4 linked regions of the Coturnix japonica genome follow. The main gene of each other region encodes a partner of the protein of the gene in region 4 in a complex. Links are inferred from orthologs where the notes say so. Each region holds a gene or a part of one and is shown on either strand. Other genes may lie near its edges.

Region 1 (6,680 bases), on a different chromosome or scaffold from region 4:
TGCTTCCCTGGCTGTTAAATTACAGAAGTATCTGGAATTGTGTATAGGGGAAGAGATTATAACAACAGATAGCGTGTAGACTTGAATAGGTTGTATATGTAACTAGTTTCCAATTCATAATGAAATACAGGTATGTTATTGGTTGTTACTTGCCAGCAGTTGGGAAAGTAGAAGGTTTAGTATTTCAAACCCACGCTACAATGAATGATTCAACAGCCAGCCAAAGCTTCAACTCCATCATCTTCCATCACTCATTTACAGAGAATATCCAATGCCCTCTCAGTAGAAGACTGCTTTGAAGTCACAGACACATTCCTATTACAGTAATTATCCAGTACTACCGCATTCCTTTTCAGGTTATTTAAACCACAGTATTTGCAGAACAGAAGTATCACCTCTAGCTATCTCTGCTTGTTATCCTTTGATGCAAATGGTTTAAGTGTGTTGCTCCATGCCAGGTAAAAGGAATCCTCGTCCTGTTCTGGCTGTTTCCTCTCTGTCAGATCTGCAGCACAGCCCCCTGTCTCTGCTCAGCTGGGCACACTACCACGTCCAGACACAGTTTCCACTGAGAAATGTCAGCTACAGACAGTGTCAACTCATTCTATCTAGATAACTACGTTCAACTCTTGCTAAAACTGACACTGGAAGAAAAGAACTTTTAGGAGTTTGTATAAATGGGTAATTCAGGTTTCATATCTAATTTATTTGCCCTCTGTCAGTGATAAAGTCATGTTACAAACATTTGCTTTTTAGTACATTGCCTGGGATAACACAGCCGTGATTTTGCTACGTTAGCATTCCAAACTTCTTTGTCAAGCCAACCAACAAAGTAATGGACAAGACCTTTGGTTCACTTATATATTTATGAATGGAAAAAGTCATAATGTAAATTTACTTATTAAAAAAACTTGGGTACAAATTACACATACATAAGACCACCCATTTTTTTGATTCACATGGACACCTTAGACCCGAACAACTCATCGTAATAGACTTTAGTGAGAATACTCCAGGTAAAGATTACAACAATTGGAAGCATCTTGGATTTTTAAAAAAGTATATTTCAATACATAAGTTTGTATGCATGCTTTAAACAAATATAGTTCAAGAATGAGCAAAGAGTCTAAACAAAAAGTAACATGACCAGCACTAACATTAAACTTCTCATCCAGATTTTAATATGTTAGTCTAACGTAGTGTTAGTTACCATGCTGTACTGAAAAATGTAATGGCACAATCTGAATCATGGTTCATTAAATATTATACCCTACTTCCCCAGAATATTTAGGCTGGTCATAAAATTAACAATGCGTAAGTAAATAAGTATAACCAGTTATAGACAGTTGCTTGTTTTACAAATTGCCATCAGGTAAGACATACTGCCCCCAGAGACTCAGAGAGATGGACATTCAATCATACCATTAAAACAGTATGGCCTGAAGAAATGGGCACATTTTTTGGAAAGTATATTAAGACAATTCTGTTAGCTTTTAGTTACCCCTTGTAAATAATCATGGTATGACCGAGTACAAGACCCAACTTGGAAAAGCAATTTTAATCGGCATAGTGCATGATTGACTCAACATAATTCCCAGGAAACAAGCCGGTTACTCGATTGCAAACTCCTTCATACCAGCCGTCATCGTTCTTCTTTATCACATAAATGATTGCACCCTCCATAAACGACAGCTCGTCATCTTTGTCCTTTGTATAGTCATATATAGCAACAACTGTGGATTGAACAGGGAAAATGTTAGCACTATGTTAATAGCACCCCTCAGCATCATCATATTTTGTAAAGACTTGTTTGCCATCCTGGCATTTTCTGTTCTGAATTCACAGTTTTCCCATTCAACATCAAGTCCAGAAAGTGACTTCTCCCCTTTCTTGCAGTCCTGGCTGCCCATAAGCAGTGGGTGGTGACTGCACTAAATGCTCCTAAGCCTTCTGGCATGGGCTGGCTGGGGTGCTGTGCACCAGTGCATATGGCCACCTATAAGCTGGGTTATGCACTAGGTGGGCCTAGTGAATGTGGTGTTCATTTCTGCTCAGACTGCCCCAAAGGCATCGATCCCTGCATATCTTGATTAGAGAAAGCCTTAAAAAAAAAATCACTCTGCAGAAGAAGACCACTAGGAACATTTCTTACACAATAGCCCCTGCAACTATACCATGCCCTGCATGCAGTACAGCCAGCAGCAAGGACTGAACACAGCAGTTCCACCGCTGCTGCCAAGATGGTACCACAGACACATTGCATGCACATGACAGTACCAGCCAGGGCCTGAGAAAACTTGCAGCGTTGCTGTTGACAGACTGGTCACTGCCCTAAAAGAGACAGCTCCATGGGCAGGAAATCAGTCATTCGCGGGAAGAAATGTTTATTGTATGAGTTTATGTCTAAGCACATTTACAGTCTGCTGATGCAGACTCACTGGTATGTCTCACAGACTCACAGAACGGTTTGGGTTGGAAGGTACCTAAAGGCCCATCCAGTTCTAACCCCCTGCAATGTGTAGGGCTCCCACCCAGCAGCTCAGACTGCCCAGGGCCCCGTTCTATCCAGCCTTGAACACCTCCAGGGATGGGGCACCCCCTGCTCTCTGGGCAGCCACTGCCAGGGCCTCCCCATCCTCAAAGAAAATTTCCTCCAAATATCTAACCTAAATCTCCCCTTTCAGTTTAAAACCATCCCTCCTTGTCCTGTCACTGTCTCCATGGAAGGCCCACTACATTTCACAGCAAAAAGCTTCATGGTCTGCTCTCGCTGGCTTTTCAGCTGGATGGGGGATAAAACAGGACAGAGCATGGGCTTTCTGGGCTTTGTGCAGCGCTCTTTCTAGATGACTGCTCAGCAGCCCTGAGGTAGCCGCAGATGCAGTCCAGCAGCTTAGCAAAGATGAAAAGCCATCGGATTCATATCTGCTTCTCATAACTGTTTTGCTATATTTTTTTTATCCCTTTATTCTAGAATGCTTGAAGATATTTTATAATCCTTCTTTAAAAGGATTATGTTTTATCACATCAGGTGTAGCCACTGACAAACTAAGAACAGAACGCTTCGAGTTCTGACTAGCAGGGACAATGACTTTTCATCAGACCAAACTTAGTCATTCACCCCCTTCAGATACCATTAATCCCTGGTGCTGCAGGTACACAGTTGCAGCCCTTCCTACCTTTCTCTATGTAGTTCTTCGGCGCCCAGGCAGGATCTCCATCCGCGTAGGGATCGCTGTACTGCACAACAGCAGCCTCCTCGTCCTCATAGTCCACAGGGGGTGGGGGTGGAGGTGGGGGGGAGTCATCGAACATTGGCATCTCATCGGGGGGCGGCGGGGGGGGAGGAGTCGGGCTATCGGCAACTGGAAACGTTGGGAAAGTTTTTTTACATGAAAACCAGCGTGCAGATATAAACAAACCTGAGGCTGTAGACTGTAAATAAAAGGGGAGGGGATGACAACACACAGCATGCGCTATAATACCATGCACTGATTAGAAACAGAGGCTTTGTATTAACAGCTACAACACGCAGCTACGTTCATTATTAGTGGTCAGATCTACGTAGAGATGCTACTAGAGTCAAAGCACATGCTGCACGGCATAAGCTGAACACCAGCAGCGGGCAGCCCTGCTCGCCGGCCATGCTGAGGGCTGGCTGCAGCGGAAGCTATGGGAGCACTGCGAGCAGCACCCTCTGAGCCGGGCAGCAGCAGCTGCTGGGCAGCCAGCAGCACAATTCGTTCTGCACAAAGCCTGTACAACCACTTCCATTTGTTTGTGAACACTGCTTCTTTGGATTCCTTCTCTCAGAGCTATCCCTAAGAGGGCAAAAAGATCTGGTATAGATCACAAAAAGGGATGAGACTGGGCTTCAGAATTAACCAAGTGGGAGAAAGCCAAGCAATCTTACTGCGGAAGAAAAGCTTTGTACTGATCAGCATCCCGCAGACTGGCTTGTGTGTATGCACACATCCAGGATCCGTTAACAAATGGAAAACTACAACAGGCAGCTGCTGCTCTTTGGGAGAAAGTGCTCAAGGCATTAAGGGAGCAATCCAAAATGTCAAATCCCTGCCCTGAGACTCTCCAACCAGCACAAGTTGCTTTGGGAAAGGGAAAAGAGAAAGGCATTATGGAACAAACCACTCTTCCAAACAGTTCTTAGTAACCAGCAGCAAAGGGAGGAGAGAGATCTCAGATGCGAGACACCAGGCTGCCCATCTCATTCCCTGGATCTGGGGCCACTACACACAACCTGGGTGGGAGTTACTGTAAGGAACCATCACCGAGCTCAGTGCTGCTGCATAGGCACATGGATTTAATGACAAGCAATCTGGGAGTCTGCATATGAAACACAGACACAGGCTGAAATCCTCTGCTCTGAGAGGGCATAACTGAAAGAGCAGGGCATGTGCTCTAGAGCACTGCTATCTTTAAGAAAGACAAGCTGGAAAGCAAGGAAAGTACACAGCATGGAGTCAAGCTCTAGCTATTGCTAGTTACATTTGTTTGCTTTAATGCTCTTCACTTCTGCCTGGCCACTACTAACCAGTGACTAACCTTTGGTCAGTAACACAGCTCAGGGCAGCTCTGAAGCTCTAGCTGTGCCAGAGAGGCTGTGCTGTGATGGTGGAAGGCCACAGCCCCCCAAGGCACTGCTGTCACCTCAATCACAGCTCCCCGCAGTGTGGCTAGCTGAGCTCTGTGCCCCACAGCCTTGTGTCAGGAGGCGGCTGCCACTGTGTTAGCAATTCCTCTTCCATACAGAAACCCAGTGATGTCACTTGCAGACAGACTAACAAAGTCTCTGTCCAACTGAGCGCTCTGTCTTGCCTGCATTACTGAGCAGCACTCACGGGCAGGCTTCATTATTACACCACAGGCACATGACAGCACTATTTATAAACACACGGGGTTCGTGTGCTCTTTTCAGCACATCCTTCACAAAATGCACTCCTACCCTTCATATCCAGCTCCAGCCAGGAAAAGAAAAGTACTGAACAACAATCCTTTGAGATGCTGAGAAATCCTTACCTTAATAAAGGCTGTATTTATTCAACAGTGAAGATGCTTATTTGACAAGAACAAAAGAGGGCAGGAAATGTGAGCATGGAAGCACCAACACACACCCTGACCAAAATGCTGTGCTGACACTGTGTGTTTTATGGGAAACGTGGAAAACAATTCAACATCACATTTACACAAGGGGAGAAAACAGAACAGAAAATCAGACAAGTGTCACCCCATGAATGCGTCCCCACCTCCGGGATTGTAACCCAGACATTGCCTGGCTCTCAACTCAGCCAGGCAAAATCAGGAACAGTATTTATTTTTCTAGGGGAAAACATGGCATACAAAAGTACCCTAAGTGAGGAAGGGTACAGGGACCAGACTTAACAAAGCTCCAAACCGAAGCATCTTCTCTAGCTTCTATTCACATCCCTGTTGTTAAGTGGGGCCCTGCAGACTCCTCTTTAACAGACTGGGTGTGAGAGTGCAGCAGCTGACAGCCAGTCGCTGATCCCTGGGCACGTTGCTAAACCTCTCTGCAGGAAACACCCACAGCTTGGGCACAGGGCGCAGGAAAAAAGAACAGGCCTCGAGCATTTTCTAATCCCCTGCCCTAGAAAAATTCTGAAAGGAGTCCACAGTGTGCACAGAGAATGCTTTCGAAACCCACCAATCTTTATGAAAAGGGAAAAATTACTTTTCCCATAAGACAGAAGCCTACCATTGTCTCTGTAACTCCATTCCCTGTGACTGTGCTGAAAACAAGATATATCAAGGTCCCCTGCCATCCAGTTCTGCCGAGTGCATGCACAGCTACCACATACACTCCCACCTCTGATACAAGGCAGCAGCAGCAGCTCAAAGCCACATTCATTAGAGAACTCTCAAACCCCAGAGACTATTAAAGAAAGAAAATAAACATGATAATTCCTAGACCAGGTTTCAAGCTACTTTCTGCTGCAATCTCATTCACAAGTCAGCTTTAATTTTTGTTGTGACACGGACAAATAGTCTTTCCCTTTCACCTCTGCTCTCCCAAGTGCTGCGTTATCTCCAAGAAGACAATACATGGAACAATTCAGAAGCAGGTGTCAATTTTCTCAAGTTTATCTGCAAGTAAAGCCATCTTTAGTACATCTACCTCTACACTTCTCATTTGGAGAAGGTATGTCAATTTTCTGGCATGCTAATCAACATAAACACAATTCTTAACATTCACCTAATATAACACCAAAATACCTTCTTTCTGAATGGGAACCACAGAGATGCTTCTTATGCCTGGGGAAATGCTCACAATATGAGCACTAAGGAGCTCATAGGGGAAGCTTTATAGCAGCTCTGATCAGTGCGGAGGGCCCCTCAGCATATCCTGGAGCACCACTGCACAGTAACAGTCCCTGAGATTCTAACAGACTCCACCATGATTCCCAAACACCCCAAAAATGTGTTATTTTATGCCCTACCTGCATTGCATTCTTTCTGTTGTCTACAAAACAACAACATTCTCCCACAGCAAAGATAAACCTAGAGCAGGAGCAAGACTTTAACCCTGCACTAGCATTCGGGATAGGAACACTCTCCTGAAATGAATCGAGCAATAATGGTAAAAGCAGAGATAGCAGTGGAAAACAGATCACAGCCAGGGAGCATCTCTCACAAATCTATCC
Region 2 (7,697 bases), on a different chromosome or scaffold from region 4:
ATCTGAATCCAGAAAGGAAGCTGTATGTTAGAAGCACTTCATAGAGGTTAGGGATTAATTTAGAGCTCCAAATCAGATGTCCACTCCAGACAAAAGGCAGGATTTCATGTATAATTTCTCCTTGGCATTTTCTGTTAACTAACTTGAATGCTCAATAACTTGTCAGCCTTGTGTACAATTTTCTATTTCATGCCTATAGAATATGGCACTTAACTTATGGTGTCATAAAAATTAATTACAGGAGCGCTGTGCAGCTGGCTAGTAGCGTTCATTCTGAATGCTGACAAACATCACAGTTCTGCATAGAACTCAGCTATGGCTAATTTCATGTGACAGTGACAACTGGAAAAATCTCTTTCATAAAACTAAGACTTAATGATTCGTACAAACACCTAAAAGCTAGAATGAAGACAAACATAACTACAGATCAAAGCGTGATGGATTTAAAATGCTCAAGGAATTACTTGCATTTTCAGTATCAGTAACTGTGATTTTCAGAGTGCACTTTTGGGACTTCCTAAAAATTAAGACTTTTAGGACATCTCCAGCTGTGCTCCTACATGTCTGAAATGAAATGTTTGGACACAGTCTTGCTTAGTCGGGAAACCATCGATCAACATCCACAATGGAAGAAAAATTGTTAGCAAGCATACCTTAAACAGCGAGTAGTCACAACCAGGCATTAAATTACTAGAGAGCTGGATATGGTTGTATAAACTATTGGAGGGAAAAACAGCAGGATTAAAAACTAAACATTATTTTAAGGTACAAAATGCTAAAAGAATTTAGGACATGTCTGAATAAAATACAAAATTTAAACAGCATTAAAGTAATTCAGAAGCAACCCTGTTACCTAGGTTTTTTCCCCCAGCAGTACAAAAGCATTAGCTTTAATGAGTTCTAGCTCAAAGAAGCAGAATGGAAGCTGGTTTCATCAACACTTGCTGGGCTCCTATACCACAGTATTTCCCAGAAATACCTTTCCTTCTTCTAAACTTAGTTCTAACAAGTTAAAAATAATAAACATAACTTACTGAACTTTCATGCAAAAAAGGAAGTTTTGTGCATGTGTACTCGTCCTCTATATATGCATAACAATTTAATAGAATAACAATTTAAACACCTATGGTTATTCTCTCTGCAGAGAGATTTTTAAAAGTATTCAATTAGATTTTATTCACTTCTGTACTCTGTAGTTGAAGACTGTAAGCCCGATAATTCAAACTGAAATAAGAACTCATATGGCAAGAACAGATGACTGGAAGAACAATACAAAATACAGCCAGAATTAAATTCACGACTATGCAATTGAGAGCTAAGAAGTTGAGGCAGTTCATACAGCCTCCTAGCAAGAAGGCAGGTGCTTTTCTTTCCTGCACTGCTAAGGTGACACTTCAGAAGATGGTCTGCATCAAACACTAAACTGTAGTTCAAGACTAACTAACACTTAGGCATGGTCCAGTACTAAAAAGAAAACTAACTACTTCAACTTATTTTATAGCTTGACTGGAGACATCTGAACACTTTTCCACTACAGCCTTGATTACACAGCTCAAAAACTTACCCATCACTAAGTACACTGATAAGCTTCAAACAACTTATCACATATCCCACCAGGGGGATGCAAAAACTGTTTTCAAGAACTGAGTCCTGCTCCCCTTCCTCCAATGACTGTACTGACAAACATCAGCTTAAAATCTTCAACACGTTTCCTCTCTGATGGTGCTACTTTCACTGATGTGCATTAAAAATATGAAGAACTTCTCCAATTACACATAATTCAAATGTTATATTATTCTGGGTTACATTCTTGCAAACTCTGAAGAATCAAGATCTGGCCATTAATTTTATAGGTATTTCCAAAGAGTTGTGGCTAATGAAAAACTTTACACCTTCTGATTTCAGCATAAATTTAGCTATCACATATCAGCATTGTGCAGACCAAGGCATGTTTACTTACGCCCAAAAATCTTCAACAGTATCAAACTTTGAGATCAGACGGAGATTTGCTTGCCAAGTTTTGCTCTTGTCATTTTTAAAAAACCAGAGCGCCCATCTAAAGGAGAACAGAGTACAGAATAATAGCATCTAGAATTAAAGCACGTTACAAATAAAATTCAGTACTGATTATATACCAAGTAATCGCAAACCTCAAGAGGTTATTAGCACGGAAAGCAGTTTTCATTAGCTGGCAATGTGAAAAATTCATTTCTAAAATCTAGCTCTACAGCATGTATCCTAGAGTTACAACAGTCATGGGAGACTTGATTATCATATCAAGTAATTACATCATATCAAGTTATATTATCATTGAGGTAATTATTTCTAATGTGTTTGGGTCATTTCTAAGACTAAATCTCTAAGCCTCAGATGATTCCCCTTTTTGCCACTGGTAAACTGCAAAGTCCTCCCACCAGTAACAATCATGGTTTGAAGCAGTGCCAACTATCCCAATCTGGAACTCAGCTGCCTATTCCATAATTTCTCTGTAAAAGTCAAAAGCTAATTCTAGTGTATGCATATAGATGAATGTCTCCCTAGCATTCACCCACCGGGAGAACAAATTTCAATAGAAGTCACTTGAATTCATTTTTTATAAAACTACCAGCTTAAGCTTCACTTCGGGTTTTTAGATTCACACAAGTGAATACTTAAATTTTCCACCCTATTTTCTTCAACGTCTCAACTGAGTACAAGTTTCAACACCTACTATTAGAAAAAAAGAAATCATCTTTACACTCAAAGACATTCCTTAGGAATCAGAAGAATATTGTCTAAAATGCTGGAAGGAGATACCTGAGAGGTGTTTAACAGAAGAGGCCTACTTCTCATGTTGATCACTTCAGGAGCATTGAGCTGACTCGAGTTACCACTAGAGTAGATTTATCTTGCCACAGTACTCCTGAAAACACCTGGTGTCCATTTGCTGAGACTTACTGACTATTTCAAACCTTGCTTTAGAAGTTAACTATTTTCTAGAAAAAGTCCCACACCACTTATGGGAAAGTGTCAGCAAAGTAATTACAGGAAAACGGACAGAAGACAGCAGAGAGTGGAGGGAAAAGATGAAACATGACATATAGTTCTCATTCGCTCAGAACAGAAAAGAGTAAGAAGCCTGACACACAGTAATATTCTATTTAGGGCAGCACTTAACAGCAACTCCACAACAACTCCTTAGCTGAGGAGATGAGCACCCAGCTGCTCTATTTGAAGTACATGTATGTGCTGCAGTCTCTTTGCGCATTTAAACAAATTCAACCTGTAAGCAGCTTAAAACTTCTGTAGAAAGTCGGTCCAAGTGCTAGTTTATCAAGAAATTTTATACTTGTGAAGTCCTCGCTGTCTCTGCAGCAAAGTCAGAAAGCAATAGTAGCTTACTAATTTAAGTAGTACCTATTTCTGCACGCTAAACATAGAATTTAATTAGGAGGGCTTGGATTTTTCAATGCTTCTTCTTTATTTCCAACTGCGACTCCGTATTTTTCTCGATAAAAATGAAAATTCAGGTGCCCTACAGCTTTTACTCTTAATGAGACATTAATACAAGCATACGCATTAGCTCTTTACAGTGCTTCTTCTGCTGTGCTTCCTACAGGTGATGACATTATTACTGTAGACACCAGCCATTCCGGATATTTCAAGCCTAATAAGCAGTTTGGCAAAATAAGGCAGCTTCACTACTTTCAGTTCCATTATCATGGCTTCCATACTACTCACCTGTTTTGTAGTGGATGCTTAATATACTGTTCAGGGTTGGCAACCTCCTGAGTAGGCGCTGGCTCGGTTTTCTCCTCTTCTGAAGGTTGAGGGTTGGGAGTGGTTTCCTGTTTGAAGAAAGGATTTATTAATAAGTTCCTTTTCAATTTTCATTGTTGCACTTTAGCTCTTCCAAGTAACTTTAAGACCGCAGAAACTTAGAATTCCTCTAACTCAAATTGGATTGGGAGGGTGGGGTGTCAAATCACATCACAGAAGCACAATTTGTATCCCTTTATCTTTCACCACCTGAACAGGCCCTATAATACCAGTTGCAGGGGCTCCCATTGAGCTGTTCATCAACTTGTTGCCTCTGTCATTTGTCCCCAGCTCTGTTTCCTGGACAAGTTTGTCTTCAACTAAGATGCTGCTGAGTTATTTTGGAAAAAAACAATATTGTACATTATCTAGAATAGGCACCTCTAAATTAATTCCCAGAACAGTAATAGCTTCACAACGAAAACATGATGATTTTTGGATAAAACGAAGTGTCACTGTAAACAAAGTCCATGCTTATTTAGAAAAATGTGCTATTACAAGTCTGATATAGATCCAGAACTTATCAATATAAAATCACTACTGTAGGCAGGGAACAAACTAAAATGGTAAGCAGGTATCTTTATTTGCAACATTACTACTAACAATGTTTCAGGCACCAAGCAACATAATTTAAACAGTTATTAGTTCTCAAACATCAAACTGATATTTAATTTCACACGATTTATCACAGGTTTGCCCAATTCTATGTTCCACCCCCCCCCCCCCCCCCCAAATCTCTACAGAGTGTTATAGATATCAAAAGTTTCAACACAAAAGAGAAAGAACATTCCCTTTGCACATAACATCCCCCCCACCACCACCAAGCTTGTCATTTGAGAAACCACTGTGTCGGGTTTGCAATTCTAATGGCATACCTTCAAAGCTAGAATACAAAGCTTTATTGTGAGGCCAAATGCTCTCTCCAGTTACCACCATCTCTCCCTAACCTGCAATTGATGCTAGAATATTGCAATAAGACAAGAAATGAACAATAGAGTTCATTTCCTCCAGTTATCCCAGAAAAAGCACTTTAAGAATATAAACAAATATGAATTACAGCAGACCCAAAGACCTTAGTCATTCCTAAATGTAGCAAAGCAAAAGCAGTACTTAAATAGAGCTTAACTTTTGTGGTCTTAAAAGAATAAAGTAACATAGGAGTGGATTAGGTAAATCAGTGGATTAAGTCTGTCATCTAATGGAGGGAGCAATTTCCAAGTTACTCAGTTCGTCATGACCAGAGCTGCTGAAAAGTGGAATGGATTTGAAGTGATAACAAGCAGCACTTAACCTTCACCGGACCAGCTGACAAACTCTTCTGGCAACATCTAGAGACCGGGCTTAACACAGACTTTCATTATCAATACATCTAGTGCTACTGCTTAAGAACAGCAGCATAGTTAACTTCAGACAAACTACACCTTCATGCCTGGGGAAAACGATGCTTATTTTAACAGTCTACCCAGCAAAGACATTAGTTCAAAAGCTAAACATAATTTATACCACGTTTAAGAAGGCTTTCATATGTTCCCATGCTCAGAGTGAGATAAGAAGGCCTCATGGGGCAGCGACAATTAGGGTACTGCTTTGATTTACACGTTACAAGGGGTAGGTAGTACAATCTCCCACCTGTTTTAAGGGAATAAATGCTTTCTAAAGAGTCCCTTACGAGGGCCATCACTACTTAACACTGCCTTCTGCGGGCTTGTCAATCTGTTCTATTTCTTCCAGTGAAATACTCTAACAAACAGAAGAGTCCTTCAAGAATTAAGTAGAGGACCAGTGAGAGTTTCAAATCCTTTCTAGAGCAAGATTTACAGTCTTAGACACATCTATTTTTAAATTGATGGGATGGGATTAGATCCTTACCCTTCCCTTTAATCACACACAGGAGTCACAGAGAAGAAATTAAGATGGTCAGTGCACAAAGGCGACCAAATACACCAAAGCAGTATTTCAGCAGCTCCCTTGAGTTACAGCTTGCAGTATAATACATGAAATCAAGGCGTACACAGAACACCCTGTCAAACACTTAATTTGAAGGGTATAAAAAATAATAATAAAAATCAGTATTTGGGAAGTAAACTAAGTGCAAGGGTTCATGCTAATACTTGCTTTCATTCACGTTATTCTACAGTTGTAAATCAATTCTAAATAGTAGATATCAAACGCTAAAGACTTTAACATCCAACAGCGTCTTGTCAAACTTCACATTTGCTCAGCAAAGAGCTTTCAACCAACAAAGAGCTGATTCTGGCATCTCTCAGCTCACTCTTCCAGAAACACAATGATCCCAATTGGAAGGATTAACACAAAACCAAGCACATGCAGGACTACCATATAAATGCAATTTCTCATTTCTAATGGAAGACAACATCAGAAAGGCCTAAGACAGCACCTGCAGACAATGCAAAAACACAATGAGCCTCATTGTACCAACCCTGTACACCAAAGGTCACCCTTGACAGGGTAACCACATGAAAGTCCATTTTGGAACAAATGGAGACATCTGACTCCGCAGAAGTGTTTTTAAGTCACCATAATAATAACTCTCTTAAGATGTTTTGAAAGCTGCATAACTTTAATGAAGCTCAGACTACCCAACCTTTCAAGCTCTTGCCCAAAGCAGCACATGACAACTCACTTCTAAGACTTGGCCATGGTCTCAGCTCAGGACCACACAGTTCTCCTTGAGAACGAGCCCAGCCTGAGGAGGATTTCATCAAGGACAGGTACAGCTGCACACACCACAGTAAACTTGGAAGCAGGTGTAAAGTTGGAAGCAAAGTCTTCTATCACAAAGCTTTTCTACTTAATCTAAAGCAGAAGCTTAAAGCAGCTCATGTGCGCTACCTTTCATTTCCCAGCGTTATCCATCAAAATAAAAAGACTTTCATTTTCAGTTAGTTAACCATACCGGCTCCCTTTTCTTTTCATCTCATTTATCTCACCATTCTACCCAAACAGAAGTGTTTGCATAGCAAACTATTTCCCATTAATCAAACACAAAGCATGCCAGCAAAGTAACCGCCAGAATCCCTTTCTTGTGCCCAACCTCTTCCCAGCTACTGAAATCCTACAACAAACCACAAGCATGCACCCAACACTGCCTTTACATGATTCTATAAATACAGCGTGAATTAAAGTTATGTTTTGTGTGTTTTACCAGTTCACACTTCGAAGTCTTGCAATTGCTGCACTATTAACTTAAAGCCAGATCGTCTCCGCCCACAGTTTCTGGGCTTCTAGACTTATATTCATTTACAGTATTTTACTATTGCTCATAACTAATGCCTTCTTTAACCTAAAATTGACATTGCGTCTACTATTAAACCATCACTGAGTTTGCTGCTTTTAAAACAGATGTAATAAAAGAGGGTAGCATTACCAGCCAGACTGGAAAGCTTCAAATGGCCAATCCTACTCCCCAAACACAATACAGCACATAATTAGGAGTGACATTTGCTACCCACATGCTTCTTGCTGTAGGAATCAGCTTGCAGGAGTTTACGAAATATTCACCTACTCAGCATTTAGTGACTGTGCCTATCTGCACGTTACCTGGATTCTGACACTTGCAGACTTAATTGGTGTTATTCATTCCGTCTCCACAGCACATAACGACAAGTGTATGAAAGGAAGGTGTGCATGTCACTGGGACAGGAAATGGGTGCTTCTCACTGCAAGAACTGCATAGTCAGGTTATTTAAAAGAAGCAACCCGCTTGACTAGGTTCCACCCAGTGTTCGCAGATACCGCCCCGACCACATCCATAATTTAATGATCTACAAAAGTTGTTTAGGAAGTGCAGTTAAAAGAATGACATGTATGTTCCAGAAGGATGCAACCTCACACCCGTGTGCATTCCTGATGAAACTTCAGAGAATTCAGCTTGCAGA
Region 3 (7,697 bases), on a different chromosome or scaffold from region 4:
TGGATAATTTCCTGCTCGGTCACAATCAGAACACGATGATTTTAGCCAACAACAAGAAAAGCAAAACCACGTTTGAAGAATTTGATGATGGAATAAATAGAAGAGCACATCGGTGACAAAAGAACTACTAAAAAGATAGGATGTGCCATTAAAAGCAAGCATCCCAAGCACTGCTAAGCAAGGACTGCTGCTGCCCAGCTTTAAGGGGCTCATCTCACCATGGGGTGAGGTGCTGCAGCTGCTCCTCATGGGCATTCAAATGCCTGCATTGATGCCAGAAAACAGAGGAGCAAGGGAACGGTGCTGTTGTGCTGCTCGATTCCTCTGCTAGAAACCGAACCTGTCCTCCTATTAAAGTAAGAGCAAGTTTTATTTTTAGCTGGAGAGTGTGATTTAAAGAGAGATTTTTCTTGTATGAAAGGAAGCTGCGAGGAGCAAGCAAGCGAGAGGTGCATTGTGGGGAATTCAGTCTGCTTCCAGCCTAGCTGGTGTCAAAAGTTAAATGAATTCCCAAGCCAAAAGCACTAAAGAGAGATCTGTAGCTTGGAACACTTGGATGGGAACTGCCCCCGCTTCAACTCCAGGGCGTGAAGAGCCGGTAGTGAGATTTAACAAAGCCATCACACCACCGAGATGCCACCCCGCTCCTCAGCAGCAGCCCCAGAGCTCGGGGTGATGGAAGGGCATTGCCACGGGGTGTGCAGCCAAAGCCTTCTGTGCTGCGTGCCCGCCAGGCAGGCAGATGGGAGCAGCCGTGCTGCTGAGGCTGTTCCTGCCACCCTGTTGAAGCCGTGTGGCTCCCTGATTTATTTAGCAAATTCTAAATCCGCAGATGGATTTACTTTGGAGAATCTGATTAGTGGCAGTATCGATCCGCACTGTGCAGCGGATCTGGAGAAGCTGCAGAGCAGGGTGAACTGCATTACAATCAACGCCACCCGCTGCCCCTTGCTGGGGAGCAGAGCCGAGCCCTGCACTTGCTTACCCAGCAGGGCCGTGTTTGTCCTTGATCTCAACGAATTCTTGCCCCATTTTCAGTTTCTCCCACTCTTCTTTCCTGGTTTTGATTTTCCGGGGGTTCACGTTTCCTCGGTTCGGATTCTCCTTTTTCTCTTTCTAGGGGAGGAAAGGGAGGAGGAATCAAACAAAAGCCTTTTTTTGCTTTAAACTCACCGGGAACAGGAAGGGATTGGATAAGACAAGAGGGCCAGGGTTTGTCATTCATTTTCCTGACTGCTGAAAGCTCCAACGTCCTCCCAGACAAAGAAGATGGAGCAGAGCAAAAGACACCACCCAGCTTCCCCAGCACGACGGCAGGGCTCCAGCCTGGCACCACCACCTTGAGGGCAGCGAGAGCTCCATTTCCCCACATCAATTCTGCTTCTGGCCCGTGCGTCAAGGCTGCCAAACCCTACCACTGCTTTGCTGGTGTTAATGCTTTGGGTGAACCTGCCGTGAGCCTTGGTTTCTATGTTCTGACACGTCCAGGCTCCCTCCTTTGTTACTCTTTTGATATTCAGGACTTTGGTTGCCCAAACGCTAAATAAGGTACGCTCAAACTGAAGCTTTTGTGGTGTCACCTGGTTCAAATCCCCCAGTAACCAAACCAGGAGCTTCACCTGGTGCTTTCAGCTTGCATGGCTTTGCTAAGCCTCCCAATGGCTGCTCATTTAACTCTTCTGGCACCCCTGAATGTTTCCTCTTCCACAATAGAATTCATTGCAGCACTTGGCAAAGCACAGAGCTGGGGCAGTGGGACCTGCACTGCTTCAACACTGAGCAGACCCCCATGCACCACCACAAGCACAAAGACTGGCACAGCCCTGCTCTGCCGGCTGCATCAGCGCTGTGTTGGAAGACATCAAATTAAACCCTCCTAACAACACAAAGAAGATGGCATTTGGAAAACCAGATTAAGGGTATCCTTGTTGTCTTCTTTTTAATTAACAGCGATGAAAGTAAAGCAGATCAAAACTTCTCCGAATTGATCCCCAAAGAGCTTAAGAGAGGAAACCTCAATTTCGGAGAGTAACTTTGGAGCTCATTAACGCTTTCCACCTCCTTTCCCACCCCGACATGCTGCTGTTGCCAGAGATCTCCCATTCCCTCACCCTGTGCTTCCTCTTCTCTTTCATAATATCCTTGGTGTCCTGGAGCATTTTCTCCTTCCAGAGGTCAAAGAAATAGGAAGGATCCGTGTAGAATTTAAGCGCCTCCTTGCCATCGTCCCTAGAACAGGGGGGAGGAAACACACACAAACAAGAGGCCAAGTCATGCAACTGTTTGCAGCCCAAAGAAAAATAAAAGCCACCAGCCCAGTCAACAGATTAAAGGGCTGCACTGAGAAGGTCAAACGCTCTGCTCTCACCTCTGTCCTCCATTCAAAAATAGGCAGCAGACCCACAGCAGCAGCCGCCTGTCCCAGCACTCCCCCTTGCCATCGCTTCCACCCTCACACACGCTCTGGATTTCAGAGCTCGGCTGCTCTGAGCAACCAGCAGGAGAGCAGCAGGTCTCTCACTCCAACTCCCACTTGTTTGTCTTGTATTTTTGGTGTGAAAAAATCTTCTCCAGCTTGGGAACCCTAAATCAGACCGGCAGCGTCCTTGAAACTCGTGTGTGCACACACACTCACTCTCCTACTTTGCAGTGCAGCTGCGTCTGGCAGAAGACAGCTGCCTCCAGCTATCTGTAATTACTTTTTACCTGTTCAGAAGATATTTATGGATGTGGGCTAAGTCTCTGCATTCTGACCCCCTTTGCTTCTACTATGGACAAGATGGAACGACACAGCAGGAGAGAAGGGCTCACACAGCCCACCTAGGTCACATTGGATGTCTCAGTGCAGGCGTGGGAGGCCATGGGAAGCATCCCCAGACCTACAGGAGCCTGCTGCGCCCACTGGGGTGAGAGCCACACACAGATGGATGCTCTGCAATTTGCACTGCAGCCTTCTGGAAAGAAGCCACGGGGCTACAGTGAAGCATAAGAAAAATGCATCACCTGCACAATACCTTGCGTGTTTATGCAGTGCAAGGCAAGCCTTGCCCCAAGGCGGTCACAAAAGTGACAGCAGGTAACCAAACGTATAATTTTCTAGCTATGCTCATTTGTACAGCCTCAAAAGCAAAGTTTCACGTGAGATTTCCTGGGGGATCTCCAACTCTATTTCCTATTGAAGATGGCTACTTCAGTACAGCAGGGGATGGGAAATGACCTCGGCTGGACGGGAGGAAGCAGCTTCCTCTGTAAGGGAACAAGTGCCTACGGAGGTGTTGTGGTGTTACCTGTAAGGGGAAAGAATGTTGAGAGGTGGAGGAGTATTGCAGGTCCCATAGGTTTCAAGGACAGGCACTGGCAAAGAATCTCTGTCGAAGAGCTTCTGGTCCTGAGTTGTAGAACTTTTGAAGGCCTTCCTGGTGTTAATGCCTTGCAGGGAGACTGTAAGAAAGAGAAAAGAGCGAGTGAAGAGCAGCTTGACCCAGGCCAACGGCACTGAGGATCGAGCAGCAAACATCTGATTTCAGCTGGAGTTCTTGGCGTGCTCAGCACTCCTTAAGCTCAGGTTCCTGTTCCCACAGATCTCTCGGGAAGCCCAGCAAATCTCACACAGTGCTGTGACAAAACCTGCTGCTGTACAGACACGGCTCAATAGCTGCCAGCGTGGTTTCAAACCCCTGCAACCAAGACTTGGGAAGTCTATGGGCACCCAACTGCTGAAGGACGAGCTTCCACATGGAGAACTGCTAACAAGGAAATCTCTCCCCAGCCAGATGGATGCTCACATGGCAGCACCGGGCTTCATTGGGAGGGACAGAACAGTCCCTCTTAGTCCAAGAGAAGACATTAACACCAACCATAGCACCATGCTCATTGTAGGGCCATGGACCAGCCGGGCTCCAAGAGAACCTTTACCACGCTTTGTCTGCAGGGACCGTGCTGCACTCCATTACCTTCCTCCTCTTTGGGATCCAGCTGAGTGACTTTGACTTGCAGGCGGTCAACTCTCTCGACAAGAACGCTCATCCGGGAGGCAAAAGTGTTGGCTTGAGTGAACAGCTCTCCAAATATGTCCTCAGCAAATTTACCTGCAGTATTAAAGTGACCGTGTTACCATCATCAGCCACATCAAACCACACGCCGACTCCCACTTTGTCTTCTCAAAGAAAGAAAGAAAGAAAGAAGAATGAGCCACACCAGGGTTGGGTGCAACACCCAAAAAGACAACATTCCCTTCCACCAACACCTGACATTTCTGAGGGATCTCTGGGCCACAAAGAAACAATTGAGACGTGCTTTCAAGCCCGTATTAGAGTAATGAAAAAGAGGGCTGACAACGTAACAGTGGTCTGAATCCGGATGGGTCTGCAGGTCCTTTAAGATTCACTGCTGCTGTTTATTAGACAAGACAACACAGACTTTTATTGCTCTGGAGAAGCTCAAAGGCTCCTGGTCTCCAGCAGACCCGCCTCCAGGGGAACTGGCACATATTTACAAGCTCAAAGAGCTCTGGAACCAGAGAGCAGACCCAGTCCTTGATCCTAAAGCCTGAGCTATAACCGCAGACAAAAGCACTGACCCTTTTGTTCCTTCAGGTGGCAGTGTCTGAAAAATTGATGCATTCACGTTTATTCTAAATCAAAACCAAAAGGGAACTTCTCCAACAGGAATATTCTCTCTGTAACAGCTTGGCTTGCCCAGTGAGCTGCGATGACAAACATCATCCATCGTTTGGATGGTGAGAGCGCCTCGGGGCTTGGACCAGGAGCCTGCTGCACCACTTACAAGTCTAACAAAAAGAAGCCCCCCGTCCTGAAGAGTTTAAAATCTACATATGCAAGGAGACATGACCACGGGTGAACAGAGATGGGTGAACTGACAGAATAAGAAGCTAAAAGGAGCAACGTCCTTAGTGCTCTGCTCTCCAGCATAACCTGAGGGTGGGAACCCCAAATAACCACGCAGAGGACAGCACTGATGGGGTGGGAACAGACTTGGCACTGACAGCAGCCAGACCCACCGAGTTCCCATTGATGGGAAACATTTCCAGGCACGGCTGCTGAGCACGAGGCTGCTCCCAACGAGCCGTCTGGTTCTGTAAGTGCATCATCACACGGTCAGCAGTTTGTTCTGGAATCTGTTAGTCCCAGAGATCCTCTCCGACATTCAGGGAAGGATAAGCAGTGGGAAGGCCGACTTTAACAGCAATGCTGGAAAATGTGGCTGTCTGCAGCACGTCACAGGGGAAAGATCCCCTCCACGAGGCACAGCAATGGCAGCTGGTAGTGCCTGTGCAAAGCCTTCCAGCAGGGCTGAGCTGACACCCATAGCAGAGGTTGCTCATTCCCCCCCTGTTATCAGTGACTCGTTCACAATGCCACGCAGTTCTCCTTACACTGCCAAGCACGGAGAACGAGGCAGGTTAAAAATCAACCTCCCCCACCCTTTCTGGTGGCAGTGCCAGCTCCAAGTGCCTGCAGAAGGTAAAAGCTGGATGTGAACTGCAGCTGACCTCCCTCGGCTCACCTGGACAGCACTGACTCCACGTATGCTCTGCTAACAAGCCCAGCCAGCTCTCCCCAACCTCATGGGGAGGACTGCAGCCATGGAGACCCAAGGGCTGGATTGCACTCACTGCAGCCACGTTTCACCAAGCACTCTGTGCTCACCATCAGCACCAGCTCTCCTGTTTGACCAAAGGAAGTGAACACTTACCTACGTGATCATTTGTTGCCCCTCCCAGCAACAGCCCACAGAGCTGTAATTTGGTTCTGTGTTAATGAGAACCGAGAATCAGTTCCAAATCTCACCAGGAACTGCAACAAGTAGAAGGGAAGATACCAAGTTTGTGGTGCTGAGCTGCATGTTTCAAGCACAAAGAGCACTGCACGTGGTGTCCTTAGCCCCGTAAGCAGCAGGGATGGTTGGTGTTCCCTCACCTGTCTAAGTGCATCAGTCCTGAGTTACCATTCAGGATCTGGCATACGCTTCAGTGCTCCACGTGCAGTTTTAGATGGGGAAAGGCAGAGATTCATTTTTGGTCTCATTACTTTGACTGTTGCAAAAGTGCAACTCACAATCAGAATGATCTCTGTCACGCACTGGCAGGAAGACAGGCGGTGTGATTCAATAGGTCTCTCCATCTTTAGCTCGTGCATTCCATAGCACTGCACAGCCGGCTTATACAGAGCGCTACCAGCTGTGATAGTAACGAAGGGTAAACTCACTGGAATATGAAAGTTTGACAAGATTTATGTTTGCATCTTTGTAAAGAGACTGTGGTGCAGCAGGCATGGCTGATTATTCACTTGACAGAGCTGTCACAGCCTACTGAACCTGCTTCGCATTCCCTCAACGCTCAGCGTACGAAGGAGGAGTGGATTTCTTCCTCCAAAGTAAGAGAGGTAAAGGAGGGGGGCAGGACTTTGGTCAGCTGGCTGCGAGTGCTGTGCAGCACCGAGTCTAAATAGCTTCATTTAAAGCACCGCTGACCACAGGGATGCGGATAAGGGATGGTGCTCATTATCCCCCCACATGCCCTGCTCTCCTCCAGGTACCTGGCTGCATGCAGCTCCCTCCCTGCACCACGCAGATATCACAGGGCACCTTCCTAGCAAAGGAGCCTGGCTGCAATGTGGCTCCCAGTGCTTCACTGTGTCCAGCTGAGGCAGCCATGGAGAAGCTTTGAATATCTGAGCTTTGCAAAGACGGCCTAAATCTGCAGGATCTCACCAGGGCTCTGTCACACTAACCCGCTGCATGCCTTTGGACTGGGATTAGCTTTCTCTGCAGCTGAGATCTGCACAGCTTTACTGCCTCCTTCCTCCTCATTTCACATGCACGAGATGGATTCTCCTCGCATTCCACAACCATCTTGGCTACCAGAGCCACCAAACGACCAACAGGGGTCAGTGGGATGTGAGCGGATGGACGGGTCCTGCCCGTGCAGTGACATTTCCACAGCCCAAAACAGAACGTGACACCGACTGGCAGCCATCACAGGCCCCGATTTCAGTTGCAGCCATGGCTTTCACTGCTGGAAAGAGGCTGTAGCTGAGGCTTTCCTGCCACACGAGGCAAGGGCCTTACATTGCAGAGCAAGCACAAGTGCTCGCAGACACCACCAATAAGCTCAACAATATGAGTTGGATTCTCATAGTCTCGCTTCAAGGGCAGAGGCGGCTAATCAGAAGCCAGAGCATTTCAAGAGAGGACGGAGCCATCCCACAGAGACCACCATTAACTCTTCTCTCCTCCCATGCCATGCAGGCCCATGTTTTCCCTATAGCCTTTCCCAGGCTATGGGGCAGCTCACCGGAGAGCTGAGCTCGGTGCTGCCGTCTGTGCGAGCAGCCCTGAGCCCCCTGTGCTCCAAAGGCAATGCTTGGGGACTTTGGGTCTTCCAAGGTAGCACACAGCAGGGGCCAACAGGCTGCTTCTGCACGGGCGCTTTAATTATCCTTCATTAAAAAGAAGACTACTTACACACCATAGCTTCGGCACAGTCAAGCTCCATTTAGTAGCGCACGCAATTAGAGGCACATTCTCTGACACAAGATCCTGGCTGCTCCGAGAGCCTCCCATTTTACAAGGCTGAGTTGTGCTCCATCCTTCCATCTGCAGCTTTGCTGCAGCCTCGCACACACGCACGCACACACATGCGCACACCCCCTCCCCAGTTTCTTCTAGCTGGGGAA
Region 4 (7,697 bases):
TCATTGCAGACAAGCTCAAGACACTGATTATGTATCATATATGTACGCGCAATTGATTTTAGTTTTCATCTCATCTCTTCAATTACAGCTTCACTTAAAGCATTATGAGCACACATTTGGAGTAAAGGTTAGACAGCCTATTCCCAAAGAGACACGCTGAAAAGGTCTGGGATATGTCAATAAACAGAAGACATCTACAGTTTATATGATATATCAGAGTTTAAGATTCAAAATTTAAATAGCATTAATATCATGCACAGGATGGGTACTAGCCTAGCACCCAGCTTTTCTTGAGTGAGGTCTTGGAGCTTTATCCTTTACCCAGCCTGAGATTTGCCTACTTTTTAGCTGTTCTACAACAACTGCCAGCCAGTGATGTAAAATCTGCGCAAATAGCTCTAATCCCCCACACCTCACTGTTGCTGTAGCGAGCCAGTTCTGATATGAAACGCATATGGTCTTCTCTGATTTGGATCATCTGCTCACATATATTGTACTGGGGACTGCTGCTGGAAGACGTGCACGTCCATCTGTTGCAGAAGACAAAAAAAATCTTTAATCAGTTGATGCAATAAAGACTGCAGCTGATACTAAAAAAGAAAGAACAAAAATGTGTGACTTCTTTTTTTTCCTTAAATCTTCCTTCTCATCCATGCGAGACCTTTCATCTCCTCTTTCACTTTGCTGCTGCTGTGAAATACAAACTGCCATCTCTCTTCAAAAGCACACACTTAGGGACAGGACCAAAAAGGACTGAAAGCCAGGGCAGAGGGACAAGTATAGGCCATAAGATGTTTAGCCACTTTCAGCTTGTTCTTCTTCATTCATGTTTAACTAAGGAGAGCTTACAGTATGCTCCAAATATAAAAATATTATTAAATACTATTAACATGTTATCAAGAGAGACACAAAATACATGCTACCAAATGTTGTGTTAAACAGCCTCATACTTTTAGTAGCTCAGTAGGCTCGCTACTGTTGATTTTCTCTTAGCAATTACATGCAAGTTACATATTTTTTTCTGCAGGAATTAAAATGCGAAGCACTACATTCTAAATTCACATAACTGCATGGAGGGAAGGTCTCAGAGGTGCACAGGAACATTTACTAAAATGAAGCAATAACCATAAACCGTGGAACAATTTATATAAAACAGCTGCATTTTCTAGCCATTTTGCTGCATTGTACCCCTACCAAAACAAAAAGAAGAGGGACACAAGCTAAGTTTCTGCTCCATGTACAATATACACATGCACTACTGCTCACCTTGCTTAGTATAATCCTTCATTTCTTTTACAGAAAGTTTCATATTTAAAGGAAAAGATAAAAATTACATTAGTGTAAGGTAAATTTTACATCCTCCAACCCAGGTGAAAAGCAATGCCACCGATGCAAGAATAGCTCAGCAGCACAGAAAGATGGTTAAATAACCTGTCCTTTCCATTGTATCTACTATGCAAAGTACATTAATAGTGAAATACCCACACCAAAAAATGGACCAAGGTGAAAATCCTATTTAAAGTAATTACCATAGATTATTATCAGGTGATTATGAAATTATACCTTATGGGTCTGAACTTCCCCAGCCCATATACTCCCCTCTCTGTATCCTTGTCCTACCTACCTCGACTTGTTTTCCTCATAATGGGCACTTGTCTTGATGTATCTTGCAAGTTCAATCTGCATATCACCGAATAAAGGAACCACCTGCAGCTGCTGCACAAAGGGAATAGATTAGATTAGATAAATGATTAAATATGCATCTTAGTGAAAGGAAAATGCTATTCACCCAGTGATAGTCCAAAGTGATCTTTGTTGTATTTGATTATATTAATCTGGCCGTCAATTTAAAATGCAGGGGGAACTGCCTTCTACATTACATATTAGGAAATGCTTATCTTAACCAACCTTAAAGAATTTGTCAATCTTGGCTAAATTTATCCTTTTTTTTGCATCCAGCTTGTAGATGTTACTGACACTTCCATCCATCAGGTACAATCCAAAGCCCATAACCTGGCAAAAGAAAAAGAAACAAAGCTCTCTGCAAAAGAACCTCAGGGGTAAAAACACGCTGAAAACATAAGACAAACACTCAGTATTTACTCCATACTTCTTTCTTCTTCTACTTCTTTCGCTTATCAACCAACTGATACACATTGCCTGGCACTCTTCTATTAAATGTACTTATATGAGCTAAATTTTTCTGATTACTTACCCTAATTTTTAAGTTACTTGTTTCCTCAAAGCTTTGATACGCAGCATCACCTCCAGAAGCCTTTTTATTTGCCACCTATCTAGAACTAAGGTTCCCTAGTTCCCTTCTGTTGTTGTTATACTTCATAGAAACACCACTCTATAGAATTAGTTTCCCAACAAGGCTGCAGTTCAGTTAGACTAACCTCAATTTATGAAGAACAAAAATGGATTAGAAGTTTCCTTAACAGATTCAGTGTTAAAAGTTCATGTGGTTCTGGCAAAAGGAAACAAAAATCCAAGAAGAATGCAAACATCTTTGTTCTGCTTCAACCTTTCTTTAAGTTTGTACTGAAAAGAAACTTACTTTCAAAAGCATATGTTTCTCGCTGGGGGTTAGATACATTTTGTTTTCATAGTAGTCCACACACAAATTCACAATATCTGCAAGCAGTTCTTCATAGCCAACAATCACCTCCAACTGCTGCTGTAACGACTGGAAAAAAAAAAAAAGGAGAAAGGACATTAGTCAAGAAGTTACAGTCCCTTAGGATCAGCAGCTACTACCAAACTGAAAGGGTTTTCTTTTAAAGGTTTTATACAGCATTCAGTATTTTGGAAAAAGGCAATTGAAGCTTACCTGTGTTATCTTGTTGTGATTAGCAAGGAACATGGAGAGATTCTGGGACTCTTGAATGGATTGAGGATCTGCCATTTTCCGTAGGAACTGAGCAGCTCTTTGCAAATAGAAAATAAAACAACCATATTTCCCTTCAGTGGCAATGCTTGTAAGCAAACTCATCCCCTCTCAACACACTCATCTCTGCATCTATCGGGTAGTCAATAGAACCTGTAACTATCAGTACAATCAGTACAATGGCAACACCATTTGTTGCATGTACAAGGTTACTGACCTTTGCATATCTCCCATCTCCTGAATCAGGCAGAAAAAGATTTTTACACATAAGGCTAGTGCTTTCTTGCCAAAGCTTCACAAAAACATGTTAGCCAAACCTACCCTTTTATTGACAATTCTTAAGAGCAACACTGAAATATCGTAAGAACAACTTTAAGTTACAAGCATCAAAACTGGATGCCAAAAACTGGAGTAGAACAAAAAGTCAGCTTTCTCTGAAACTTGAAAAGCAGTATTGAGCAGTGCATATCCAATACATTTAGTGAACGCCATGATAGAAGTACTTGCCAGTTTTGCCTCAAAAGACAGAACAATCTTTAGTTGCTGGAAGAGCAGCATAAAGAAAGTCAATTTAGTCAATGGTTTAGCTGCAGTAATTGCAGAAAAAGCTGCCCAAAAGGGAGCTACTGCTGCCATCTTGTGGGAGCTCTGTCTCCCCACAGCATAAATCCTGATCCTGTCCTTAAGAGCTCACCTCTTGTAGGCTGAATGGTCGTTCTTCACACTGCACTTCATATTCTTCAGCTCATCTAGTACTGCAAACATGTTGATAAATTTGCCCAGTGTGATCAGATACGCTTCAGAGACAAAGTCTTTTCTCCTCTCTGCATGGCACAAGCGTCTCACCTCCCCACAAAACCGTTCAATTGCATTTCTCTAACGAAACAAAAAAGAGTCAGAGAGTAAAAGCCACAATGTTTCCAAGATTCATCCCACAACCAGAGGTCTCACACCTGTCTGTCCTCCCCTCTTAACAACAGTCCACTTTGGTGCACCTATAAGAGGTGATGAAAAGCACCACCAAAGCAACAAAAACATTTAAGGCCTGTGAGGCCAACAACACATGAGCACGGCCTTTCCAGCTTCACCTCTGTGTACTACAAATGTCACAAAGGATTTCCTTATGACAGGCAGAACCTGCCTGGCACAATTGGAAATATTATCTGCAATCTGAAGTCAGAAAAATTTAAAATCCCTTTGAAACAAGTGATTTTATAGCAGAATAGTGATTAATGTCAGCACAGCCATCTTTGCACGTGGTTATTTGAGGGCTTATTTCCAAGTGTGCACCAGGGCCATCTGAGATTGCCTTACACATACACAAAATGTGTTGCACTTCTGTTCCTTCCATGGTGTCAGGGACCATGTGCAATTACCTTCTATTTTATCCTCAAAGTCTTAATGGAGGAATCTCTTTTTTAGGTGGTGGTGCGCAGCAATAGAACAAGGAGCAATGGGCAGAAGCTGGAACACAGGAAATTCCATACAAACACAAGGAAGAATTTATTTACTGTGAGAGTGGTGGCCCAGAGAGGTTGTGGAGTCTCCTTCTCTGGAGATACTCGAGAACCACCTGGATGCTTCCCACTGAGACCTGCTGTAGGGAACTGCTTTAGCAGGGAGTAGGATTCAATGATCACTAGAGGTCCCTTCCAACCCCTGCAATTCTCTTATTCTGTGAAACTCCTGAAGTTTTAGAAATGCTGCCCTTCTGAGAGATCTTTTTTTCCACCAAATTATAACGATTAAGTTGAATATCTGAGCATGTAATATCAAGCATACAGAATAAGCATATAATATTGCTAACAAATGTTTAATTTCTATTCCTTTTACCTGGAAATACATGAACTTCATAAGTTTTGTGACTTCTGGCTCCAGAACTTCTACTGTCTTCTCATAAATTTCCACTCTGTTAGGCTGCTCGTTGCACTTAACCTGAAGACAATTAGAAAGACCATCAATCACACTTACAGCTTTCCCAGATAAAAAAAAAAATTCCCTCAGAAACTCAGATCCCAAATGACAAACTAGAAAACATATTCTCATCTTAACTATACAAATTTAAGGCATCGATAGCTGGCATTAGTGAATCTTCGCCATTTTTCATCGAGTTTAAAAACAGAAATTGAGATTTATTTTTTTTTCTCTGTTATCTCTGTTCTTTGTGCATAAAAATATTTGCAAGCTGTTGCCAATTCACAACTTTAATTTTCCTGATGCATCTTAATATTCTTCCCATCCCATCCCCGTATCACCATTCCCAGACATGCATTCACAGGCTTTTATTTCTGCACACGGATCAAGAAAACACTGCATAGCTCTGACAAGGAGAAAATAACCATTTGAAAACCTAGGATGTTTAACCCAAATGCTAATTATCACATGCTGCATCACCTGTTAAACCTGCTCTGAATTTAAATGTTTGGGGAAGAAAAAAAAAAGAAGTCCAACTAGTTCCCATGTGTTAAGACACTGTTCTATGGCATGCACAGCTTGCTAATTCAGGGATCAAAGCAAACTTAATTTCAGAACTCATTACTAAATCTGTAACCAAGACAGAAGTGCACATGATACATGATGGTTTATTTCGGACCCTTTACCTGGGGAATGGCTCTTGAGCAGCTCCTCCATGTATACAACATGACAGCATATTCCTGGCCCTCTTCTAACATTTCATTCTGCAAGAGAGAAACTCGGTAACAATATAGCAGTGTAAAACATAGGAGTTAAATTCATTTCTCTGCCATTGTTCCAAAGTAAACTTTTTCTTATCAGAAAGTATATGTGCAAATGTGTATTGCAAGCTGAATGATACATCTTACTGCATGTTTTTTAAACCAGCACAAAACAACTAAAAGTTCAGAATGGAACAGTGTTTACAACCTGCAAGTTCCTTTGTATCCCAAAACAACAATATCACCAGCAGAGAGAGAGTTATGACTAACAAGTCTCATCTTCTATTGTGTAACTGTTATGTTAAATACCACAAAAGACCTGACACAAAAGCATGTCAATAAACAACAAATGTATACAGTGAGGAAGCCAAAAATAAACCCTCACTGTCACTACACTGACAGAGAAGCACAGGAAATTTTTTAAAACTACCGGCAATTATGTGCAAGAAAAGAAATGCCACACTCTTGTGTGTGTTACTGCCTCCTGGAAACGTTACAGGCAACTTCTTTTCTGTGACCACAATTCTTACAACGACATGCAAAATGACCCTTTATTTCCCTTTAATTCCAGCTAGCAGAGACGTATCTACCTGAACACCTTCTTACCATGCTAGAGTGGACTGTAGCTTGCTCAATGTATCTTGCAATACCAGTGACAAATGCATTTCTGTCCTCAAAGTTAGTGTTGAAGTTTGGCTGCAAAGAAAGCAAAATATCAAATCAAATTATTGGGAAGGAAAATAATTTTTACGTATCATAAATGCGAACAGTTCTGTTATTGTTATTTTGTTTGCTTGCTTTTTAAGAGTATATATTCTTGCAAAAGAACTGCAGTATTTTTTGTCTAAAATGACAGCAGACCTGGTAAAGCAGAGATGATGGTGGGGGTTCAATACACGGTTGCTGATCTGGCAATGGTAACTCTTCCAAGAGATCCACATTGGATAAGGCATCCTCCAGTGTTACTTGAGCAGTCATTTTGCAGCTGTGGTTAAAAAAATACATACATATATATGTATATGTATACATACATGTAACTGTAGTTGTTTTTTTTTCCTATATATACATCTAACCACTTAAACAGAAAACAAACAAATACCGCAAAGAGCAGGGAACCATTACTACTGTGGGAAACAGGTAGTTTCCCTTTGATGAAAACATTTCCTAGACACCATAATGGAAGAGGTACACCATCAAACCAAAACCCAGCCGGTTTCAGTATACAAGTTTAAAATGAATGTTAGGACTAACAACCTCCTCCTTACTTTATGACTTCAGAAACGCTTCTCTTCTTCCCTGCCACACCAAAACCAGAGGAAAGACTGACATCAAATTCACAGGAAAAAAGGACTGCCCTCAGATGTAACCATAAGGACAGTACCATCAATCTGAAGTTAAAAATAAACAAATGAAGAAACCACCAAAGACAACAAAGAGTAAAAGCAAAAACCAAAGCAAAGGGAAGGAAACACTCAGAACTGATAAACCACCTGCCCTCAGAGACCAACCAGCACGCTGAGCTGTAGCTGCAAAACCAACAAACCACACATGGAGAGAGCTCACCAACAGTTTCTAACAACTGCTGTCAGACAGGTCTGCAGGCATTTGCTTCTTGAAACCATCGATGGCTCCAGCTCTGCTTCGAGCCTGAGCAGGTAAGTTTTCATTAAAACAAATAAATAAGCAGTGCACATGTTGTACAACTTGCAGTCCCAGTTGAAAAATGATGAAGGACAGGACTGACAGGAGTGCTTGCTGACAGAGCTGCCTGCAGTCAGCACAGCTCCTTCACAGCCAATATGGTTATTCTTAAATGACAGGCAGGCAAAAGCCATAGCATCTTCCCTTCAATAAATAAACAAATGCCAAAAGAATTCCACATCTGGGCACAAGTCCCACAAGGAAGTTGAAGCCTATTATATGCTGAAAACTCCCTCTGAAAGCCAGGAGCACTCCTGTGCTGTTCAGGTGATGGAGCAGCAGCACAGGCTGCCCAGAGGCTGTGGGGTCTCCTCCTTGGGGATCTCCCAGAGCTGCCTGGATGTGGCCCTGGGCACCCTGCTCTGGGTGTCCCTGCTGGTCTCATTCTCTGGAGATATTCAAGACCTGCCTGGACGCCTACCTGTGCAACC

What was found.
Region 1: CYFIP1 (region 4) and ABI1 share a complex: the UniProt entries of both Homo sapiens proteins name them as parts of the WAVE2 complex. The link is inferred for Coturnix japonica from reciprocal best matches to the Homo sapiens genes CYFIP1 and ABI1.
Region 2: CYFIP1 (region 4) and EIF4E share a complex: the UniProt entries of both Homo sapiens proteins name them as parts of the CYFIP1-EIF4E-FMR1 complex. The link is inferred for Coturnix japonica from reciprocal best matches to the Homo sapiens genes CYFIP1 and EIF4E.
Region 3: CYFIP1 (region 4) and WASF2 share a complex: the UniProt entries of both Homo sapiens proteins name them as parts of the WAVE2 complex. The link is inferred for Coturnix japonica from reciprocal best matches to the Homo sapiens genes CYFIP1 and WASF2.

Annotation. Positions count from the first base shown.
Region 1 is NC_029517.1:14,559,200-14,565,879, reverse strand, and holds the end of ABI1 (abl interactor 1), read right to left. Parts: intron 3,366-6,680; coding exon 3,180-3,365; intron 1,734-3,179; coding exon 1,558-1,733; 3' UTR 686-1,557; downstream 1-685. UniProt on the Homo sapiens protein: May act in negative regulation of cell growth and transformation by interacting with nonreceptor tyrosine kinases ABL1 and/or ABL2. May play a role in regulation of EGF-induced Erk pathway activation. Involved in cytoskeletal reorganization and EGFR signaling.
Region 2 is NC_029519.1:53,877,198-53,884,894, forward strand, and holds part of EIF4E (eukaryotic translation initiation factor 4E), read right to left. Parts: intron 3,828-7,697; coding exon 3,721-3,827; intron 2,057-3,720; coding exon 1,961-2,056; intron 718-1,960; coding exon 654-717; intron 1-653. UniProt on the Homo sapiens protein: Acts in the cytoplasm to initiate and regulate protein synthesis and is required in the nucleus for export of a subset of mRNAs from the nucleus to the cytoplasm which promotes processes such as RNA capping, processing and splicing.
Region 3 is NC_029538.1:1,772,878-1,780,574, forward strand, and holds part of WASF2 (wiskott-Aldrich syndrome protein family member 2), read right to left. Parts: intron 4,089-7,697; coding exon 3,954-4,088; intron 3,442-3,953; coding exon 3,288-3,441; intron 2,230-3,287; coding exon 2,112-2,229; intron 1,117-2,111; coding exon 986-1,116; intron 1-985. UniProt on the Homo sapiens protein: Downstream effector molecule involved in the transmission of signals from tyrosine kinase receptors and small GTPases to the actin cytoskeleton. Promotes formation of actin filaments. Part of the WAVE complex that regulates lamellipodia formation.
Region 4 is NC_029516.1:117,488,583-117,496,279, reverse strand, and holds part of CYFIP1 (cytoplasmic FMR1-interacting protein 1), read right to left. Parts: intron 6,551-7,697; 5' UTR 6,544-6,550; coding exon 6,427-6,543; intron 6,262-6,426; coding exon 6,172-6,261; intron 5,569-6,171; coding exon 5,491-5,568; intron 4,826-5,490; coding exon 4,724-4,825; intron 3,767-4,723; coding exon 3,585-3,766; intron 2,931-3,584; coding exon 2,834-2,930; intron 2,690-2,833; coding exon 2,561-2,689; intron 2,014-2,560; coding exon 1,909-2,013; intron 1,717-1,908; coding exon 1,625-1,716; intron 531-1,624; coding exon 413-530; intron 1-412. UniProt on the Homo sapiens protein: Component of the CYFIP1-EIF4E-FMR1 complex which binds to the mRNA cap and mediates translational repression. In the CYFIP1-EIF4E-FMR1 complex this subunit is an adapter between EIF4E and FMR1.